Rhinolophus ferrumequinum: one gene and its partners. The protein of the gene in region 1 interacts with the protein of each later gene in a pairwise test. Links are inferred from orthologs where the notes say so. Each region holds a gene or a part of one and is shown on either strand. Other genes may lie near its edges. The genes, in order: DDX17, RBM15 and WBP11.

Evidence for each region.
Region 2: the proteins of DDX17 (region 1) and RBM15 interact in binary tests that used the Homo sapiens proteins (3 or more experiments, as listed by UniProt). The link is inferred for Rhinolophus ferrumequinum from reciprocal best matches to the Homo sapiens genes DDX17 and RBM15.
Region 3: the proteins of DDX17 (region 1) and WBP11 interact in a two-hybrid assay, tested with the Homo sapiens proteins (3 studies listed by BioGRID and IntAct). The link is inferred for Rhinolophus ferrumequinum from reciprocal best matches to the Homo sapiens genes DDX17 and WBP11.

Annotation. Positions count from the first base shown.
Region 1 is NC_046293.1:8,627,228-8,635,320, forward strand, and holds the start of DDX17 (probable ATP-dependent RNA helicase DDX17), read left to right. Parts: upstream 1-5,090; 5' UTR 5,091-5,404; coding exon 5,405-5,454; intron 5,455-8,093. UniProt on the Homo sapiens protein: As an RNA helicase, unwinds RNA and alters RNA structures through ATP binding and hydrolysis.
Region 2 is NC_046305.1:42,294,333-42,301,917, forward strand, and holds the start of RBM15 (RNA-binding protein 15), read left to right. Parts: upstream 1-4,521; 5' UTR 4,522-4,727; coding exon 4,728-7,585. UniProt on the Homo sapiens protein: RNA-binding protein that acts as a key regulator of N6-methyladenosine (m6A) methylation of RNAs, thereby regulating different processes, such as hematopoietic cell homeostasis, alternative splicing of mRNAs and X chromosome inactivation mediated by Xist RNA.
Region 3 is NC_046293.1:29,069,182-29,076,862, forward strand, and holds the start of WBP11 (WW domain-binding protein 11), read right to left. Parts: upstream 3,083-7,681; 5' UTR 2,959-3,082; exon of another isoform or gene 2,881-2,958; intron 2,242-2,880; 5' UTR 2,089-2,241; intron 1,695-2,088; 5' UTR 1,622-1,694; coding exon 1,558-1,621; intron 1,047-1,557; coding exon 1,015-1,046; intron 1-1,014. Other genes in the region: SMCO3 (single-pass membrane and coiled-coil domain-containing protein 3), read right to left, coding at 5,369-6,046. UniProt on the Homo sapiens protein: Activates pre-mRNA splicing. May inhibit PP1 phosphatase activity.

The DNA of each region.
Region 1 (8,093 bases):
CAAAGCAACATAAATATATTACAAATCTTAATAGCTATTAAACATAAAAAGTAAAATTTTTATTGGAAATGTATCTTTTAATAAGATAGAAGGAGACTAAGGAAAAAATAGATCATGTGTCTATGAACACTTATTTTTGGCTATTCTTTTTTTTTTCTCTCCCTTTCATAGCCGTCAGTGCTGAGAAATTTTGATCACATCATTTAATAGGTGAGAATGGAAAAAGTCTTGTTATAGTAATGTCACTCCATTCCTGTTGCTCTTCTTCCAATATGCCAAAAAGCCAGTAATTATCTCAAGTTATTTTTAATGTATCTGTCGGTAGAAATTCCACATGGTCCTCCTTCCTGTTTGTTGAAAGCAAAGAGCTGGAATTCTCCTAATTTGCAAATGGACATGTTACCAAGGCATTAGGATCATTTACTTTTTTCAAGTCACCAATGTCAGCATTTCTAACTATCCCCGTATTGGGATCTCTGAGATTTTTACTTCCATGGCAAAGTCCGTAGTAAAATTTTGGGTAGAAGAGAAATATTCTTTCATTTATAAAGTGAGAGGGTGCAATTTTAAGCAAATTTCGCAGTCATCTCAATTTTAGAAAGGAGTATATATGAAAGTTCAAGTTCTGGAAATAGATTTCCTGAAAAGTCTCTGCTCCTATGTGTCCCTTGTGTACCACAGTTAAAGGCCACTGCTTCAAGTTACCTTGTTGACTTAAGTACCTCAGGACTCTCAATCTCTTGTATCTAAAGTACAATAAACCAAGCTATCAAAGAACCAAGCTGAGTCCTACCAAGATAGAAGGCAGAGGCATTATGTTTCACATTAGGTGAGTTTAACGACGATGACATTGCAAAGTTGTGACAATGGGACAAGAGAAGGTATGTGTAGAACTTATTATAGTACACGTGGTTTACAGTAAAAGTAGCTTAAAAACAAAGAACTACAGTTTTAAAACTTTAAACAAATGGAAAAATTCTCTTAGTGGTTGGAAATCGAGTCGAGTATAAATTGTACTGCTATAATAACAATAAAACACAGATAAAACGAAAAATGGCAATGGTATTGTTGGCAGGTGGAGTCTGCAGAAAGGAAACCACATCTGCAGGAAAACTGGACAATGGAAAGAGAATGATATTGACCCTGTGATCCCACAGGGAGGTAGCATAGCATAGTGGTCCCAGAGTAGTGGCTGTCAACTGGGGTGGTTCTCAGTGCCCCCTGGGAGACATTGGGCAATGTCTGGAAACATTTTATTGTCACAACTTGGAGGAGGAGGGAGATTCTACTGGCATCTAGTGGGTGGAGTCCAGGAATGCTGCTAAACATCTGCAATGCATAGGATAACCCCCCACAATAAATATCCGGCCCTAAATAGTGCCAAGTCAAAACCTTGCCAGAGCACCTAGGTTTGAGTCCAGCCTATGCTAATTGCTGTGTGATCCTGGGTTAGCACTTAATCTGAGCCTCACATTGTTTTTTAATAAATTTTATTGGGGAATATTGGGGAACAGTGTGTTTCTCCAGGGCCCATCAGCTCTGAGTCGTTGTCCTTCAACCTAGTTGTGGAGGGCGCAGCTCACTGGCCCATGTGGGAATCAAACCAGCAACCCTGTTGTTCAGAGCTCACGCTCTAAACAACTGAGCCATCCAGCCGCCCCAAGCCTCAGCTTTCTTATCTGTAAAGTGGAGAGATGATAACTAACCACTAACATATGTTGAGTGTTATGTGCCAGGCACCCCTCTGAGTGGGGTTTCATTTGCTCCTTCCAAAATCCCTATGAGGTACTGTTATCTCGTTTACAGATGAGAATAAAATAAAAGCTCATAGCACGTGTCTCTCATAGTGAACATGAGAGCACTCAATAGTTTTCAGTCCTTAGGTATTTCTTTTTAAATATTATTTTTTCAGAGCAGTTTTAGGTTTACAGCAAAATTGGGTGGAAAATACAGAGTTTCCCTGTATTCCCTGCCTCTACATACATATAGCTTCCCCCACTATCAACATCCTGTTTCAGTCAATGAAACTACATTGACACATAATCACCCCAAGTCCATAGTTTACATTAGGGTTCACTCTTGGTGGTGTACATTCTATGGGTTTGGACAAATGTGTAATGACATGTACCTACCATTATGGTACCATACAGAATAGTCTCGCTGCCCTTAAAGTCCTCTCTGCTTCACCTGTTCATCCTGTCCTTCGTCCATCCCCTAGCAATCACCGATCTTTATACCATCTCCATAGTTTTGCCTTTTCCAGAATGTCATATACTTGGAATTTTACAACATGTAGCCTTTTCAGATTGGTTTCTTTCACTTAGTCATATGCATTTAAGTTTCCTCCAGGTCTTTTCATGGCTTGATAGCTCATTTCTTTTTCACACTAAAATTTCATTGCCTGAATGTACCACAATTTATCCGTTTACCTACTGAAGGACATCTTGGTTGCTTCCAAGTTTTGGCAATTATAGTAAAACTGCTATAAATATCTTTGTGCAGGTTTTTGTGTGGACATAAATTTTCACATCTTTTGGTAAATACCAAAGAATGTGATTGCTGGATCATATGATATGGTAAGGTATGGTTAGGTTTTCAAAAAAAGGATGAATTGAGCAAAGCACATTTTCATTTTTACCAAGTCTTAGCTGTTACTAATGAAATGTCTCAGTTCTCTGGCTGCCCTATTTAATGAAAATCTCCCTCTATGTTTAGAAAAATGTAATAAGTTTCAACCATCTTTGGTAGGAAAACACAGAGATACAGCAAATAATGAGAAATGCATACTATGGATTCACTTTATATTCAGAAACTTGACTGCCAGAGGAAGACTGTAAGTTCACTTTTTTTTTGGAGGGCAAAAAAATAATGACATAAATATATAGTTATGTACTATGAGAAGCTTTCTGAAGATAAAGGAGTTATGAGATGCTATAAAACAGGGACCTGATCTAGTAGCAATATATGAATTATTTTCCCCTGCAAAATTTAGGGGGGTTTTCGATGGACCTAATTTACTTTATATAAGTTATTTATTATTATATAGAGAGCCTCAGATTTAATTACTTAGCATATAGGATAGACAAACCAGTCCAAATAACTCTCTCAGTGCTATACAGTCTAAATCCCAGTAGGAGCTTAATTGTTGGCCAATTCCTACAAGAGTCATCCTTGACTCTTCTTTCTTTCGTGCTCCACCCATCATTAAATCAGTAGCTTGATTTTCAGTCAGGCCATTTCTCCCTTACTGGTTGCTATTAACCCATGCCAAGCCCCATCATCCCTTGCTGGATTATTGCACTAACCTAATTAATCTGCCTGCTTCTGTCCTAGCTCACTCTCAATTTATTCCCCGTACTGCAGCCATAGGGGTCCATTTATTATGTCACCCTGCTTAAAACCTTCTAGACATATCCAATTTACTGAAAGGAAAAAACGAAGTCCTTACCGCAGCCAACAAGCCCTTTAAGATCTGGCCCTCTCTTTCCTCCTTGCGCTACTCCAGCCACATTCTGCCTCAGGGCCTTTGCACTTGCTCATTTCTGTATGTCAGCAAGGCTAGCTCCCTCCCTTGAGGTCTCTGCTCAGATGTCACTTGATCAGGGAGGCACGGGTATACACTCCCTCCTACAGACACACATACCTCTATCCCTTTTCCCCCCCGCTTCATTTTTTTTCTTTTTATTTTAGTTAGCAACCCTGACATAAACATTTATTGTCTGTCTTCCCCACTAGAGTGTGAACTCCAGGAGTGTAGTAACTCATTTGTTCACTGCTGTGCACCAGTTCCTAGCACAGTGCTTGGGCCTATTAGGCATTCAACACTTGTTCAATTAATCTGATTACTCATCGGCATTTGTGGCCCAAGAGACATCTGAACAGCTTGTCACGAAGATCCTTTCCTTATGCTACTTTTGTAATAATTTGGGAAACACTCAGAGCACAGAGTAGGAGACACCAGTCAGCCCCTACCATAAGGGACCTCAAATCTCCCCCACTTATACCCATATGTAGAAATAAATAAGACATGGTTAAACAGCTGCTCTTCTGAGGCCCTAACAGCTCAGCTCAACGATTCCGTGACGCTGTCAGGCCAAGCTTCTGAGACTTTAAAGTGTAGTTTGAGGGAGAAGGAAGCAGGCAGGGAGAGGGAAGCCAGATTAGAAGGAATTAAGGACACGGCCTAGGCTGGTTACAAACATGACTTATGCCTTCACCTTTTCTGTGTCTGCAGACCACCGCTTTTAAACCGTTCTGTTCCTCTCGGGAGAGCGCTAAGGGGCTGCCATGGGCCTCATGAGGCAGCGCCCGCTTAAGGGCGGTCAAGGGATCTCAGCGTCTACCTTAAGGGCTCCACCCACATTTTGGTTCTTTGTTAGCCAGCTGTGCTCAGCAGGGGACAGTGTAAATATTGTTGAGAACGTGCACTTTAGTGTGACTAAGTGTAGCAGAGTGCTTTAACCCAGGTGAGACGTCGCCACCTGACCAAAACCCGAAAGAAGGGACAAGGAACATCTATCATGGCTGCCGGCGCCGGCACAGCGAGAAGCAACCGAAAAGAAATGGCGCCGGGGCGCGCGGCCAGTCTAGGGGCCCAGGGCGGCGGGGCCAGAGCGCCCGCCAGGGACCTTAAAGACCCTCCTGGGCGTTTGGCACCTGGAGACCCTGAAACTTGACTGCAGAATGAAGGACAGTTATTGTCTGGGCAAAGCAACTTGCACAAGAAGACCGGGTTCCGTCCCGCGGTCGAACCCGGCAAAATCCTCTATTCTCCAAACAGAAGGCGTTACGCACACTGCGCATCTTCGCAACAGTGGGTCAGCTAACGACGCAAAGAATGTTACGTCGCGCCGGAGGCTCACCACCCCCCACCCCCACCCCACGTTCTAGTTTAGGCGACGCGAGAACTACGCCCGATCCGTACTTTGTTTTTCTTCTACCAACCGCAAAATGCGTCCATCTCCGCAACTGACGAAAAATGCTTCCAAGAATACCCGTAGTACTCCGCAAAGCCCTCCGGCGACTCCGACACGCTGTTTACGTATGGGCTCCGACGTACGTAGCGTTAAGCTGGAGCAGTCTCAGCTCCGGCCGCCATTTTGTGCAGTCGCTGGGAAGGAAGGAGACGCCTAAACCGCGGCACTGCCGGGTTTGAGCGTAGCCAAACCTGCCCACTGATTTTATAACCCCGATTCTCTGTGTTTTGCTCCCGTCTCCGACGAGAGAGGCGGCGACGGTGGCGTCTGCGACGGGAGACAGCGCGTCGGAGCGAGAGAGCGCCGCGCCTGCCGCCGCCCCAACAGCGGAGGCGCCGCCGCCATCGGTCGTCACCAGACCGGAGCCGCAGGCCCTCCCGAGCCCGGCCATCCGTGCCCCGCTCCCAGATCTCTATCCATTTGGGACCATGCGCGGAGGCGGCTTTGGGGACCGGGACCGGGATCGTGACCGTGGAGGGTAAGGGAGGAGGGGGAGAGGAGAGGCCTTGTGTGTGCATGGGGGTGGGGGGGCTGCTTCAAGAGGAGACCGCCGCCTGCGGGAGAGCGGGAGACTTGGAGCAGAACGCAGGCCTGCGAACAACGCTCCCGACTCGGGGAGGCGAGGCGACCCGGGACATAATAGCGATTTAGAGCACAGGCCTTTGGGTGGGCCTGGGCCCCGAAGTCACTGATGACCTGGCAGGGGGGTGGTAGCTTGGCGACGCCCCAACTCCTCCTTGCGGACGGCGGTCGTAGCGCCGCACGGCCCCAGCCTCGCGGGGAGCGGGAGCGGGAGGGGGATGGCCCGGCCATCGCAGACCCCATCCGGGCCTCGCCTCGCCTCGCTTGGCGACTCTTGGAGCCTGGCGGATTTGAGCAACTCACTTGATGTCTCCGGGCTTCAGCGTTTATCTGTGAAACACGGGTGTTTTTGTTGAGAAGAGGATGGAGGTCTCTGAGTTCAGTCTAGGAAAAGCTTAACGCGAAATGGCTTCCCTTATGTTATCTATAGCCAGAGATCACTGTTAGTCTCCAGTTTCTGAAACTGGAGACTAATTAAAAGTCTGGGTTTTAGTTTTAAAAACGTTTTCAAATTCCTTCAGTCGTATTTAAATGGAAGGACGCACATTGGAACATAAAGCAATGGAATTACCATCCAAATGGCTGTATTTGGGGAGGGAGGGTTTTGGGGTTTTTTCCAAGTTTCGGTCTTATTTTTATTTTCTCTATAAGCGGACTGGAGCGTTAACTTCTCGGCCTATCTAGAAAGTTTTTGATGCAGTTAGGCCATGGTTAACAGGGTTGGCAATTGACAGCATTAAAACAAGTTCTCCCACATACTGAGATTCAAATCTTAATGTCGGTTAAACTAATAAGTTGCTTATGATACAGATCCATGTCGATTTGTGCTGTTAACTTTTTGTAATAAAAGTTTTATCTCTTGGATGAAAAGTAATGTGACGCCACTTCTTAATGTGTGTGTGACCTTGGGCAAAATCCTAAACTGTTGTGAGTCTATTTTCTCATCTGAAAATGGGGATAATAATTGTCTGTATTTTGTATTGTTCTCGGGAATTTGAGAGAATGCATGTAATTGTCTCTGTACTAGGTGTTGTTAATATTTTCTCCAAACATTTCCAAATATTTTCTTTTGTTCAGGTATACAAGTATCAGATCTACTAGTCACAAGCACCTCAATTATCACTTAATTTACAAAATAAAAAAATTATTTTGATTTATACCTTGGTAGGAAGGAAAATGTTTTATCTTGGTGTTAAGTTTGGAGGACTAGAAGTGGAATGTTTGCTTAGTGTTTCACAGTATAGCCAAATTTAGAAGTGAATTTCAATACAACTGCTTAGGGAAAAGAAATTAAGGTTATCTAGTAAAGTCAAAAATGACCCAGTAATTCTTCTCTGAAACTTTATGCCCTAGACTCTAAGGCCTAGAGAAACTCTTGGACTTGTGCCCCCGCATTCATATACAGAGATGTTTATACCAGCATCGTTCATGACAGTATTGGAAACAACCCAAATGTCTGGATAAATTATGGATATTCATATAGTAGAATGCAGTACAACAGTGAAAAAAAAAAGCTTGCATCAACATGGATGACTCACAATATTGAATGAAAAAGCAAATTGTGGTGGGGTAATGCATATAAGGATACCTACAAATGTGACAAAATTATAAATAAAGCATGGGAATGGTTCAAGTTTGAGGTAGTTATAGTGGGGGTTGTAAACATGAGGTATGTAGAGGCCACTAAGATACTAATAATTTATTTCTTTAGCACAGGCGTTTGACTTAATATTCCATAGAATACATGCTTTAATAATAAAACTTTAAAGAGAGAAATAAGTGAATTTTATTGATTCATACTTAGTTTATCCCATATTGATTTTAGTACCAGATGACACTTTTTAAAAAGTTTTAAAAATTATTAAAATGACACCCTTGCATAAGGTCTGTGCCCTGACTCTACCTTTACTATGAAATTTACTTTGTTTTGAATTGCTATTGTTTTGTCCGTAACTGAATGTTACAGCTGAAATGGATTAATATCTTGAAAAGGCAATAAGTGAGATCAGTGTATGTACCGATAGTCCAAAAATGTACGTTGTTCATTTAAACTGGTTTGATTTTGCATGTTAATACATGAATCTTCAAAGCTGTGTTTATTGCAAAGCCAAATTAAACTTAATACTCAATAAAAATATTTTGATGGATAGCATAATATGCTAGGGATTAGGATTACACACATCTTTAAAGGATGGCACGAATGTGCTCAAAAATTCTAAGAGTAAAAGGCTCTCTTGAATATTGAAGTCAGCATATTTATAAAGAACCCCATGTTTCAAATTACATCTTTAGTGTAGGATAGTATGTCTTGGATAATCAGCCAAAGCAACATAGAGAAAGGAAAAAAATATTTTTTTAATTAAGGGCTACTTTGAATAAGTCTAAAAAGGAACCTTTGAAAAGTTCTGTTTTCTTCTAGATCGTTATTAAGGTCTGGGTAGCATTAGAATGCAGTAGCAGTGTTGAAATGGCACCTTCTAGGAACCACATTAATTGATACAAACTAGACAATCTCTAGAAATTGGTCTTTGGTCA
Region 2 (7,585 bases), on another chromosome or scaffold:
CGCACGCACACAGAGAATTCTTTAAAATTCCTTCAAAATGTTCTTTGACGTTCTTAAACCAAAACAAGGGATTGCTAAATACCGGATTCAGGAGAGTAGCTACCTATGGGGGTAGGCAGTGTATAAGGGAGAATTAAGGTAGATGTAAATCATCTGTAACTTCCTATTTCTTGGATTGAGTGGTAGGTTCCTGAGTATTCACTATGTTCTTGATAAATGAAAAGTTTAACGGTCCATGGATGAACCATTGATGATTGTATGTCATGAATTAAAGATTATGATTAATCCAATTCCATGTACTCAAGTGCAAAGAGAAACTATATTAGTAATGCTTGCCATGTACCAGGCACTGTTCTAAGCTCCTTACATGTTTTATCCCATTTAATCCTCCCAGTGAAGAGATTCTATGATTAGTCCCATTTTATAGACAAGAAAATCAAGGCCCAGAGAAAATTAACAGTAACTATTCTGAGGCCCAAAGCAGAGCTGGGATTTAATCTAGGCTGGCTGGTTCCATAGCCCATGCTCTTAACCACTGCCCCTTAAGATGTCTAAATAAAGAGGCAATTATATTACGGCTTAGTCACCTAGGAGAAGTTATAGCAGAGTGCTTTCTGTAATAATATTAAAGGATGAAACACATATACAGGTCTGGATATACATATTAAAAAACCACTGAATTGTACACTTTAACTGGGTGAACTTTATGGTATGTAAATTGTATCTTAATAAAGCTGTTTAAAAAACCCCACAAACCACAAATACGTAAGTGACTTTATAATGCAAACTGGGTCCTAACTGATTGTTAACTATTTTAGGGATTTAATATATGCTTGTGTGTAAAATATACACTTTTTCTGCAGACCAAACAAACAAACCTCACTGTCAGGAGACCACTCATTTTATGAAGGAAGGCGAAATAGAAAATTTTAATCCACTCTTGTGAGTGGGAACAATTTTTCCATTCCCAGCTACAGGCCTTTTTGCATCTGCCAGGAAATCAAATAACTCTGGGCTCCCAAGACACATTTCTTATTGCAATTGTCTGTGTGTGTACTGAGTTTATAACAACAATAAAATGTAGGAAGGAAGGGGGTGGAAAGAAGACATTTGATTGAAAACACACTGATGTCTTTTAATTGCAGATTTCTTCCATGTGCATAACAGTTTCCTTTTTCCTTTTAAATCTAAAAGTGATTTTCAAGGAAATAAGAGAAAGCACTTCATATGGAAAGCTATGGCTGCTCTCCCCCTGAGCCGAGTCCTCTAGGACCTTCAAGTTGTACAACTCTAAGGGGCCCATACCAACACCAGAATGGGCGAAGGCAGCTTTTCAACACACTTGGCTTTTGACAAGACACTGAAAGGAGAGATAAAACATGCTATGATGCTCAGGGAATTTGTTGGCAGTTTAACTCCATTTTCATGACAGCTGAAAGATCCTCCTTGCCCAGGTCAGCGGTTCTCACAAATCTGGCCATAGATCATCAGGAGATCAGATGAAAGCTTGGACTGGACATCAACGACTCCATCACCCACACCAGAAAAAGTGTTGAGTCTTGGCCCTTTAAACCATGAGTCACTTTTATCCTCTCAGGTCTCCCTAAGCTCACGAGTGAAAACAGGCTGATTCAACCTCACTAAGCAGCTTCATACTTTAAAGAACAGAAAGGAAACGAAAAAATCTTATTTTGACTACAATATGAATCAACATATTGTCATTATTCAGTCCATTATTCATGGACACATGGACACACACATCACGGGCTATATTTTGGCTCTGTTACTGAGAATGAAATTTAGGCCTTTACTATCTACCCACTGAACTACCAGTCCTCTAGACAGCAGACTGGGTATCAGTCCCCTTAGGCAAGCCTTCGTGCTGAAGCCAGCTATGGGCAGTAGCTCCACCAAGCTCGCTAGTATCACATATGGCAAGCCACCACACCAAGCAGAGACTCAGGCACTGCTACACATACTGGTACCAGCTCCCTGAATTCTCTCGTGTTCCCTCACTCACTATTATGAGGTTTGGGAAACTATACTGATTTGGTCATTATCTCTTTTGTTGATCAGTGAATCACTTAAGCAGGACAATTTAGGTCAAAAAAATCAGTCTGGAGCCTGGTTTATTTGCATTGGCTATTACTTTAAGTAATCAGATAATGACTTACCTCCAATTTTGTGTTGTATTAATATAACTTTGCAATAGATTAAAACACCCTATGTGAAGATTTTTGTGTTGTGCTTTTACACACAATGTGTTGGTTGTTGTTGTTTTTTTATCCCCTAGCATCCAGATTTTTGTCTTAAAATATTATTTCCCACTAAAAGAAACCAAAACTCTTTGGAGAAATGACTGATTGTATGTCTGGGGCAGATAATGTACCAGCTAAGCCTGCAACAAAATAATGAAGGGGGTTAGAGTGGGAAGAGTCAAGATGAAACAGAATTGACATGGGTTGATAGTTGTTGAAATTGGGTGTTGGGTACATCGAAGTTCTTTATAGTATTCTACTTTTTCCATGAAAATAGTTCTAAGGAAAGCTAAAAATAATATATATATATTTAAAAATATGAAACAGTAACAGTATGCACATGGTAAAACAAGTTTTAATAATACATAAAGGTATACAATGAAAAGTTAAGTTTCTCTCCTACTGAAACCTTCAGACCCCCTCCCACCATGAACTTTGTAACAATTTCCCAAGTATTCTCAATGAAGTTTCTACATTTACAAAATATATATACACATACATATATATCATTTTTAAAACCACAAATGATAGTATATTATACACACGGTTTCACGATTTATGAAGTTTTAACAGCTAGTTTTAATACAATGAGTCTGTCTACATACCACAATACTGTGGATTTTTATGCTTTGACATATTGGGCTTCTTTCAAACTTCTTTGATCTAATCAAGAGAGAAAAGGCGCACATCATCACCTTCCTCAAGATTATTTAGAAAGAGAAGAATGGCTGAGGGAAGGCTAAACAGGTTGCAGTCCCTAAAAGTTTTCAAGTTCAGGTTTCAGTTTGATGGACATTAGTGCTACCTTAAAAATGTCATGTTTTAAAACATCTCACATTCTCTACTCCATATTGAACCTTGAGAGATGTGGTGGACGAGAGAGAATCAGTACAAGTATCCTCATAACTTCTGCCCGGAGCATACCTGGGAGGACTGCAGCAAGCCCAATCGCTGTGATGAACTCAGCACTACAGTGAGCAGCAGGACAAAGGTTGTACCTGTTCTAATCTCGGTATCACCAGCACCTCGCATAGGTGCTTTATTATCTGACACAATAAAGGTCTCTGGAAAGAATGAAAGTTGGATTTTGAAGCAGATGATTGAGGAAGCCCAAAGAGGTGGATCCATAGACAGCAACGTAGTTGTGCCACTGAGTTCTAATATAGAATAACGGGGTGACAGGGGAACTGCAGGGAGATACAAGAAGCAACAGGAAAAATGCGACACGTCTGCAGGGAGCGTAGACTTCACTCGATTATTTAACGGAGAGAGGCATTACATATAAAAAACAAACATACTCTTTTTACAGGACTACAAAATCCAAAATCCATGTGAATTCGCAACATAAAACAGGAAGCCCACAGACACGTCCGCGGTGCCTGACAATCCGGGCCACCGATGCGGGCAGCGAAGCTGGGAGCGTCGGTCACTCCCTTCGGTTGCTCGGGGTACTTGGGCAGGAACGGGAAGCGCCAAGGAGGCTGTGTCTCGATTGCGCTGCTTCCTAGCTGCGTGACCCCAAGAGCCCGCGCCCGACCTCTGCACCGCCCCGGGGGCGTTAGTGTGGTCCCGAACTATGTGAACTCCCGGCCTAGCCTGCCCCGCGGGCTCTAGGGACCGCGCGGGCAGCGCTCACTCGAGCAGTGAGTAGGGCTTTTTTAGGCTGTTGACGAAGATGCCGGAGGGAGTAAGAGGCTGCCCGCTGGGCGCTCCGGAACGGCTTCCAGAGGGATTTGTGGGTAGAAAGTGGGGAGACGAAGGCGCAACCAAACCAAGTACCCCACGGGACCGAACAAATATTTGAAGGAAGAACGCCGAAAGCGCGGGGAGGCGGAGCTGTCCCCTGGTCACCATCTCGCGACGTCTAATGACGTCGCACAGCAAGCGCGAGTTCTACTCTTTCACCTTCAGTCCACTCCATCAGAACGTGGGTCTACCCCCGTAAGCGACTGATGGACAGTTATTTCAGCCTATCGATTTTACCACTGTCATCCAATCAGATTCAAACTTCTTTCGGCCGCCAGAGGAGTTGGAAGAAAGGGTCGAAAGAAGGAGCGCTGTTTCTCGCGAGATCGCTGTGAGGCGGCCTCTCAGAAAAAGACTCCAGAACGGATGGCCCGACTTCCCAAATAGTGGGTTGAAGGACGGGGTCTAAACCAATGAAAGAGATGAGGAGGTGGAACCACTGCTTTCATCGCGCAAGAAGTACCGTTACAGAGCACACTTTTTGTCCAATCAACGCCTCCAGACTTTGGGTCAGGTGACGATAGAGTGCGAGGGGCGGAGCTAGAGCCTGGCGCGAGGAACCGTTAAGATGGACAACGAATATAACCAATGAGGTACTCCGACTAAGGTGTTGGGAACCCAATAACAATGGTTGGGCGGGCTCCTCCCCGGAGCGCGGGGAGATGTAAAGACAGACAAGTAATTTTCCCAATGAAACTGTAGAAGAAAGGAGCTGCTTGACCAATGAGGAGTGCGGGGCGGGATCCTTTGCAGCGGCGGAGTCCAAGATGGCGGCATGCGGTTCCGCTGTGTGAAACGAGCGCGGAGCGGCGGGTTAGTCAGCTCCGCGGAGAAGACCTCCGACGACCCGCAACAATGAAGGGAAAAGAGCGCTCCCCAGTCAAACCCAAACGCTCTCGTGGTGGTGAGGATTCGACTTCCCGCGGGGAGCGGAGCAAGAAGTTAGGGGGCTCTGGTGGCAGCAATGGGAGCAGCAGCGGAAAGACCGACAGCGGCGGCGGGTCGCGGCGCAGCCTTCATCTGGACAAGTCAAGCAGCCGAGGTGGCAGCCGCGAGTATGATACTGGTGGGGGCAGCTCCAGTAGCCGCTTACATAGTTACAGTTCCCCAGGCACTAAAAATTCCTCGGGCGGGGGCGAGTCGCGCAGCAGCTCCCGGGGTGGAGGCGGGGAGTCACGTTCCTCTGGGGCCGCCTCCTCAGCTCCTGGCGGCGGGGACGGCGGGGAGTACAAGACACTGAAGATAAGCGAGTTGGGGTCCCAGCTGAGTGACGAAGCGGTGGAGGACGGACTGTTTCACGAGTTTAAACGCTTCGGTGATGTAAGTGTCAAAATCAGTCATCTCTCGGGTGGCAGCGGGGATGAGCGCGTAGCGTTTGTGAACTTCCGGCGGCCAGAGGACGCGCGGGCGGCCAAGCATGCCAGAGGCCGCCTTGTGCTCTATGACCGGCCCCTGAAGATAGAAGCTGTGTATGTGAGCCGGCGCCGCAGCCGCTCCCCTTTAGACAAAGATCCTTATCCTCCGTCATCCAGCGTGGTCGGGTCCTCTGTAGGTGGTCACCGGCACCCCCCTGGAGGGGGTGGTGGAGGCCAGAGATCGCTTTCCCCTGGTGGTGCAGCCTTAGGATACAGAGACTACCGGTTGCAGCAGTTGGCCCTTGGCCGCCTGCCCCCTCCACCTCCGCCACCATTACCCCGGGACCTGGAGAGAGAGCGAGACTACTCGTTCTATGAGAGAGTGCGCCCAGCATACAGTCTTGAGCCAAGGGTGGGAGCTGGAGCAGGTGCTGCTCCTTTCAGAGAAGTGGATGAGATCTCACCAGAGGACGATCAGCGAGCTAACCGGACGCTTTTCTTGGGCAACCTAGACATCACTGTGACAGAAAGTGATCTAAGAAGGGCTTTTGATCGCTTTGGAGTCATTACAGAAGTAGACATCAAGAGGCCTTCTCGGGGCCAGACCAGTACCTATGGCTTTCTCAAATTTGAGAACCTAGACATGTCTCACCGGGCCAAACTAGCGATGTCTGGCAAAATTATAATTCGGAATCCTATCAAAATTGGTTATGGTAAAGCTACACCCACCACCCGTCTCTGGGTAGGTGGCCTGGGACCCTGGGTGCCTCTTGCTGCTCTGGCACGGGAGTTTGACCGATTTGGCACCATACGCACCATAGACTACCGCAAAGGTGATAGTTGGGCGTATATCCAGTATGAAAGCCTGGATGCAGCTCATGCTGCCTGGACCCATATGCGGGGCTTTCCACTTGGTGGCCCAGATCGTCGCCTTAGAGTAGACTTTGCAGACACAGAACATCGTTACCAGCAGCAGTATCTGCAGCCTCTTCCCTTAACTCATTATGAACTGGTGACAGATGCTTTTGGACATCGGGCACCTGACCCTTTGAGGGGTGCTCGGGATCGGACACCACCCTTACTATACAGAGATCGTGATAGGGACCTTTATACTGACTCTGATTGGGTGCCACCACCGCCCCCAGTCCGGGAACGCAGCACTCGGACTGCAGCTAGTGCTGTGCCTGCTTATGAGGCACTGGACAGCCTGGATCGCAGGCGGGATGGCTGGTCCTTGGACCGGGACAGAGGTGAGCGAGATCTGCCCAGCAGCAGAGACCAGCCTAGGAAGCGACGGCTGCCTGACGAGAGTGGGGGACGGCATCTGGATAGGTCCCCGGAGAGTGACCGGCCACGAAAACGTCACTGCGCTCCTTCTCCTGACCGTAGTCCAGACTTGAGCAGTAGTCGGGATCGCTACAACAGTGACAATGATCGATCTTCCCGTCTTCTCTTGGAAAGGCCCTCTCCAATCAGAGACAGACGAGGTAGTTTGGAGAAGAGCCAGGGTGACAAGCGAGACCGCAAAAACTCGGCATCAGCTGAACGCGATAGGAAGCACAGGACAGCTGTTGCCACTGAGGGAAAAAGCCCTCTGAAAAAAGAAGAGCGGTCTGATGGGAGTGCAGCCAGCACCAGCACTGCTTCATCGAAGCTGAAGTCCCCTTCCCAGAAACAGGATGGTGGCACAGCTCCTGCAGCATCAGCCTCTCCCAAGCTCTGTTTGGCCTGGCAGGGGATGCTTCTATTGAAGAACAGCAACTTTCCTTCCAACATGCATCTGTTGCAGGGTGACCTTCAAGTGGCTAGCAGTCTTCTCGTGGAGGGCTCGACTGGAGGCAAAGTGGCCCAGCTCAAGATCACTCAGCGTCTTCGTTTAGACCAGCCCAAGTTGGATGAAGTAACTCGACGCATCAAAGTGGCAGGGCCCAATGGTTATGCCATTCTTCTGGCTGTGCCTGGAAGTTCTGACAGCAGATTCTCCTCTTCCTCAGCCACATCAGACACTGCCACCTCTACTCAGAGGCCACTTAGGAACCTGGTGTCCTATTTAAAGCAAAAGCAGGCTGCTGGGGTGATCAGCCTCCCTGTGGGGGGCAACAAAGACAAGGAAAACACCGGGGTCCTTCATGCCTTCCCACCGTGTGAGTTCTCCCAGCAGTTCCTGGATTCTCCTGCCAAGGCACTGGCCAAATCTGAAGAAGATTACCTGGTCATGATCATTGT
Region 3 (7,681 bases), about 20 Mb from region 1:
ATGTAATTTTTTACTCTCAAAAATGTTTCAACTTTAGACAAAAAGGTAAATGTTATTTACTAGATGTGCTTTCTGAGACAAGTATCTATGAGATCTAAAGCAGTTACTAAAAAAAAAAAAAAATTTGCAGTTTTTTTTTAAACAGGTTTCAGTTATATTCTAAAGGTATACATTCAAGTTTTACAGGAATTATTGCTAAACAATGTAACAAAACACACAATTGAAAACAATTAAAAATCTGAGTTTTCTTAATGTGATACTGAAAAGTAAATCCTTTCTTATTCTGGGAAAGCACTTTGTCATCAACTCAACAGCTACATAACCAGGAAAACGAATGTACAAAGCTAGTTAGCATCACATTTATTTACAGCCACTAATTCAGTAGCTTTTAACAAAGCAGTATGTTTTAATAACTAACAAAAAAAGAATTATTTTCAAAAGTGTATTATTTAACTCACTGGGAAAGATACTCAAATAAACAATGTTACAATAACCCATCATGAGCTTATCAGCAAGGTTATTTAGTTTTGTTCCCAAGTACAAAAAGTCCCAGACTTTCCAATATTCGACTTACGATTTTTTTTTTTACTTTACCATGGCGCCAAAGGCACTTGGATTCAGTAGAAATTGTACTTCAAAATTTGATCTTTTCCTCGGCTAGCCATGTAGTATGATATTCTCTCATGATGCTGGGCAGTGGCAGAGAGATGATTTTGCCTAACTGGAGGCTAAGGTCAGTGTTCTGAGCACATTTAGGGTATACCAGGCTAAACTATGATGTTTGGTAGGCTAGGTGTATTAAACGCATTTTCAACTTAAGATATATTCAGCTTACAATGGGTTTTTTGGGACATAACCCCATTGTAACAAGGAGCAGCTATATGGTACTTTGGTTTAGTACATTTTATGGTTCTGGCAAGTAACTGAAAATGTTACTTGGAAATCCACTAATCCCAAATGATAAAATGTGCCAAACAACACTTAATAGCTAATTTGATGCATCTGAAATCATACCTTCTTTAACTCTCTCTTCCGGGCTTCTTTTCCTAGACAAAGAGAAAAAAAACTTTCAAACCTTGAACCTTATTATAACATTTCCTCAATTTAACACAATTCTTATTGTGAGAGGCTGTCCTGCACAGTAGGACCTTCAGAAGCACCGCTGGCCTCTACCTACGAGATGCTAGTAGCACCCTTCTAATTTTGTCAACCAAAAATGTCTCGAGAAATTTTAAGCTTAAGGAAGAACTAGGAACCTGATGAAAAAAGATGTCATAAAATACTAAAGAACTTGCAGAACTAATTTATTCAAAATTCCAAATACAAAAAGAAGTTTTAAGCCAATTCCAAGTCAATCAAATTAAAAATATGCACACAATTTTTTTTGCATGTTTTATTCAAGTTTTAATCACGTGCCCACAAGAACACTGTATAACTTTATACAACCAATTCCTAGCACTGCTAATCTTGAAATTAGGACATCATGAAATAGATTTCCTAATGCTTGCAATTTTTACCACAGCTCTTCTTCATCATTCCACACTCATGGATACTTACGGGCTTGGTCTGTGGGATTCATAAATTTCCCACTCTTGGTGGATGATGTAGATCTCCGTCCCATGTTGACAATCTGTGTGGTTCACTTGTTCATTAAAAAAACACCAAAAGCTGCATCAAAGTAAGAACGTCCAAGCCTGTAGAAAATTTGTATGAATTTATTAGAGCTTATCCGAGCCAAACTGACAACCTGCCTCGCATCAAGACCTCAAAAATGCTCTGGAGAATGAGTTTTGCAGTCCTGTTTATACTTCAAAATGAAGGATGGACCCTAAGGAAGATTGCTTTAAGGTGGGAAAAAGCAAGGCAGGGAAATTTCTATGCCTGGATTACAGGACAGTTAACAAGATTATGTGCTCCCTTGAGAGTCATTAAGCCTCTGAGAGGTCTGGCAAAAAAGAGCAATTTCAAAAGTATGTTAACCTAGATGCACAGAAGCAATGGACAGGACTGGCTTAACGCAAAGATAAACCTTTTACTAGGGAAGTTATAGGCCCGAGGTAAACTTTTTAGTAGACCATACAATTATACCTTTCCTTCTTTATGAAGATCTCATCAGACAAGTTTGTTATTAGTTAATGTCTCTTTCAGCAAGTGTTCAATTGCCTTGACTTTTGCGAAATGCTTCCAAGTTGTTCCAATGGCAACTACTTTACCCTGTCAAGGATTTCCTTCTTATAAAACCTGGGAGTGAGGGAGAAGAGAGGCAGAAGCAAGCAAAATTAGTACAAATACAAGCTCTCCTATCTTTGATGGCCCGCATCTTTTTTGCTTTCCTCTCTCAATTACCCTCAGGCTCTTTTAACCCACCTTCCCCAACCTGAAACAGAATACGAATTACAGAAAATTTTTACAGAGGAAACTGGGGCCTTAGTCTGCGCAAACTACTATTATGTCTTGAAACAGAAGCGACGGGGAAATCGGGCCACAAAACCGTGGGGGGACCTCTAGACAACCGAGCCAAGAAGCTCCAATGGGCCGGGGCCCAGATCCACCAAAGGCCAACAGTAGCTGCAACTGCCGAAACCATAGCGACGGTTGAACCTGACTCGAAGCACAAACATCAAATCTAAGGCTATCTGCGACCAGTCAACGTGCACAGACAGGAGGCGGCGCTAACCGACTTGGGGGAGTCAGCCGCTTAACCGCGCTGGTCGCCGCTCCGCCCCAGGCTCGGGGATCCTCCAGTCGGCTACCCGGGAGACCCAACCGCGGAGAGGAAACACGGGGCAGAGAGGCCTTGTGTCCCCGAGGCAACCGCGCGTGCCCCACGAAGGAACGGGAAAGATGAAGAATCCGATTGGCACAATCCCGCACACTCACACTTCTGCTGGGCTCTAGGACTACAAGGAGCGGGGAGAGGACGATTTTCGGCCTCTTTGACTTGGTAGGGGCCTTCACCTCTGCCTCCCGGTCAGCTATCCAGCAACCGCCATCTTGAAACCTCGCGCCCCTCCGCCATTGCTACGTCACTTCCTATCCCTGTAGCCCGACGAACTCACGGTTTCTCCGCCCTGGAAGCATAGGAAGTAACCAAGAACTCCGGGACCAGAGTCTTCCGCTCCAATACAGTACCGAATTGGTTGGTTATCGACTAAGAGCCCGCCCTCATGACGCAGCACCTTGATTGACACTTCCGTAGACCAATGGAAATAAGAAAAAGAAGCCGCTCGGATATAAGATCGGCTCTTGGAAAAGGAGGCGTTCTGACCTAATTTCCGGGAGTTTCGTTTATTGCGCTGCTCAAGACCGGCGAGGCGCTCTTTCGGCCTCCTGGAGTTGTGTTAGTTCTAAGACTTTCTTTCTTTTTTTTTTTTTTGTGACGTAGGCTAGTGCGATCTTTTGGGAGTGTCTGTTTGAAAACGAATTCCCAAATAATTGCTACGGTGTTTGCGCTGTGCTAGAGTCATGACGATCAGAAAGTTCGGTAGTTTATAGTCACACAGAACATTTGTAGACCTGAGCAAATCCGTGCCCATATTACAGAGCCAGATTGCTAATCTACAGGATTAGTACTTTGAAAAGGAAATGTGGGGATACATGTGCTGTCAGTTTTACATTTACTACGGGCGAACTTATATTGTATCGGCTCTGGTCTTTTCACCAGCCAAAAATCCTCTATGATGTCACTGTATACACGGGATTATTCCCTTGGCTCCATTCTTCGTCCTTTCCTTTTCCTTTTCTATCCGCTTTTTCTCTATGACACCTCCCCTGTCTTTTCACCTTGAAGGAAATTTTTTATATTTTAAAATTCTATTCTTAAAGGACACGCTTGTTTATTTTTGATCTTAATCATATCCCTTGTAGGAAAATATGTTAGATATGGGTCAATTCTTAATATCAATTATAAATAGTACAAAATACTGATGGAGATACATAGTAACTTTTAGCAGAATATTTAAATGTGCATTTAACTGTACATTTGTCCCTTACCTAAACTAACCTTTGTCTTAGGAAATTCTTGATTTGATTTTAGACTGAATTTTGAGTCCCAGAAAGAACAATAAAAAGATCTTGTAGTTTAAAGCTTATAAATCAGGTAATAAAAAAGTTTAATTTTGCAGGTGAACTAAATTGTGATGTTTTACAACGAATTTTAAAAAATAATGATGAAAAAATAATGAAAGAAAATTATTACATTTGAAAAATTCAAGTATTTCATCTAGATTTTAATTTTTAAGATATGCTGAAATTTTCAAATTTCAAGAATCAACTATAACACATTCTTGCATCAACAGCTTATTAATAATTTTACAAGTAGAATCTGAGAGCCTCAATGGGAGTTAAAAGTTGGTGCAGGATTTAGGAAACAAACTCGTGCATCTGCAGAAATTCAACTGAACCATTAGGCCTCCAGAGCCTCTAGATTTTTCTGAAAGTAGGTAATTAATGAAATGGGCCACCTAAAGCTGTATATACAATGACAACTTCCTCCATTCTGCCAGTATTGAAAATGAAATTTCTTTTTTCTGAAAACTCATAAGGTAATAAATTATGACTTTCCTCTAAAATTCTTAAAAGTTGCTACTTCCTCTCCTGTATCCTAGATGCATTTTGTGCTGGGATTTGCTTTGTTTGTTTTTTAAATGTTCCAGAGTGTTCAAACATTCACTTGAGGGATATTTAATCATCACACCACAGTTGGTCAGGTTGCTTGCAATTATAGAAACAAAACCTTTATCTTTTAGTTTTAAATTTTGTCTTTTAAAAATCCATCCAAATTATAGAATTAGAAGTTTCCAGAACCATTGCCTCCTTTCATCGTTGAAGTAGATTGTTACAAGCCATATTTTAGTCTCTTCCAGTTTACAGAAAGTTGAATTTAAACTGATGGTCAAACTTATGGTAGTATTTCTATTCCTTTAGAAGGCCTGTGGTTTGTGTTCAGGCAGAAGTTACTATGTCCCCATAGAACTAAATGATGTCTGAAGTAGAAATGAAAATTTCTGCATTCAATGTAAATTTTAAGGATTTTGACAGGGAATTAGAAAAGGAAAAGGTAACCCCTACACCTGCTGCTCTATAATATCATTTACGCTAATGTTGACCTGATAGAGAGCAGAGTGAGAAGAATCCTCGGATATAATCTTCTATTTCACAGGATCTAGCACCAACTGATCCAGGCATTCATTGTTGATGCAAAACTCTAGAGTCATCTAGTTTTAGCATCTGTAATTCCTCTTTCCAGTTTGTTTACTGTACTTATGTCTCTGTTGGAAGAATATGGAAAATTAACCTAATCAAAGAAACAAAGCACTATTATTGAGAGAGAAGCAGAAAATATTCCAGTGGCAAATAAAGTGGCTATTTATTTCATTTGGTGTTCCACTGTGTTGGTGACCTCAGTAATGGCATGATGATATTTTTCTGAGGCTGACTTGAATTCCACCAGATGCTTTTCATAACTTTTGATGGCTGCTTCAAGTTGCGTTTTCTCCACTGCTCCCAGGATGGCACGGAAGATCATATCTATGCCAAGGCCAAGAAGAGCAACTCCTATACTACCAAGGAGGGAAGCACTAATTTGAGCTAACACAGTGACCAACTTGTTAATTATGCCACTTGTGACATTTGAGCCCACGAGTTTAACAGCCACTGCACTGGCTGCAGAAGTAGCTTCTCCCAGGATGACTGAAATAACCTTTTGTACAATTGCAATTTTCTCTGTTTCCCTTTCCTTAATATCCTGAAGTTTTCTATAAAGTGTTGGCTCTAGTTTATCTTTTAGTGCTGCATCAACCTTTTGCAATTCCTTTTGGATTTTCATCACAGCTTGGATGATGATATCACAGTTTTCTTTGATGGTGCCATCTCTTTTCATCTCAATGGAGACCAGCCTGCACCCCAAATGTGTATTTAAAACCCCAATCAACTTATTGGTGGCATAGAAGCTGTCAGACAAGCAGTCAAGGAGCTGTTGGTGAAGACGGTTTACTTCTTCCCGCCTCCTTGGGTTGTCTGGGTAGAGCAAGTCACTGTGAGCCATATTTCAGATATGATCTCTGAAAAATAAAATGGTAAATTTTCACTAAAAATCTTGAAAAATATCTCCTGTCTGCTTAGATTTGACCAGGAAATCTTTTACTTCATGAATAGCAAAGTAGCAATGTGCTATGTAAGGAATTCCTCAGAAAACTCAATGGGTTCTTGAAAACAATTATTTTCATGAAACTTGGAGTCAGTGTGTGGAAATGTGGGCAACGGAATATAGCCTATTGATGCGTTAATTAAGGCATTATTACATTTTGTGGTGGGGGAAGTCGTAGATAGGAAATACTTGTGTTTATCAAGCATCTGATTATTAATAAGTAAATGTGATTATTTCCAAGTAATGTCTAATAACATTTGAAACAGAACACAGTTTGAAATGGTGAGCTCTTGATAGCCAGTGCTCCTTTATTTCTCCAACTTCTGGTCACCACACTGCAAAGAACTTCCAGATTTATTTCTCTGATATTTGGAGTTAAATTAGTAGGGCCAGAAGAATATTAAGATCTCTGAGTTTACAGGGCTATTTATATGTAATTTTGTTTGTATTAATTTACAATATTTATTAATTTGTCACTTAATTTACAATATTTAAATCACTATATCTTTACGGGCAAATTACTTGTTCTCTAAACCTAAGGGACATTGAAAGGCGAATATAACAATAGAATCTTTACAAAAAATCCTTGTGATGAGAGTATACAGTCAAGAGGCCGTGGATTAAAATCTCACTTGAGAAAGTGGGCATGGTGCAAGGGACAGTGCAATCATGACTGCCTCTGATTCTCTATTTGCAAAGTTTATAAATGAAATTATTTAAAATGGTCTGTATTGCACTTGGCCATTATTAAGATAATTTAGAATTAGCCTTGGAAAGAAGATAATGTCATTTCACAGAAATATTAAGGAATAATTAGCAAGAGTACCATAGAATGAATAAAATAAGCCTGGTAGAAGCCTTTTGAGTTTACACTTCTGGCTCAGAGTATCATGCAGAGGAAAAAGGAATAAGCATGTTCTTCTGAGTTTATTTGGGTAAAAGTTTGAGCCTAGTAAGAACAATATTACTCAATATGGTTACATTGAGTAGGCTTACTATGTGCCTGGCACTTTTATTTTTCCTTTAAACCCTTGAGAGAAAATGGAGTTCTCTATATCTGTGTGGGATCTGGCACATTCTCTCTATGAGTAAGCGATATCTTGATTAACTTGGGCCCTATCTTAGGATCATGTTCTTAACCTAGATATGGGGAACCTGAGAAACATGGAATAAAGGAGTGAAGGTGTTTTTCTCTCAAGAAAGTAAACATGAAATTAATCTATCCTCCAAGTCATAAAGATGTAATTTGGGAATAGAGAGGGGACCATTTTTAAAAAATGGATTGGGAACATGATAATTTATGATGTTTAATTTAGAAAACTGCACTGGTACTCCTGGTGGAATAAACTTTTATCATAGTCAGAAATTCATTTTTATCTTTGATTCAGATCTAGTACACACCTATACAAGTGCACGCACACCCACGCAACAGACACAAATTTCCCTAAGACAGTACTTAGAAAAGTAATTCTATTTGTTGAGGGTCTATTAAATATTTCCCAAATTCATCATTAGGTTGCAAACTGCAATTTG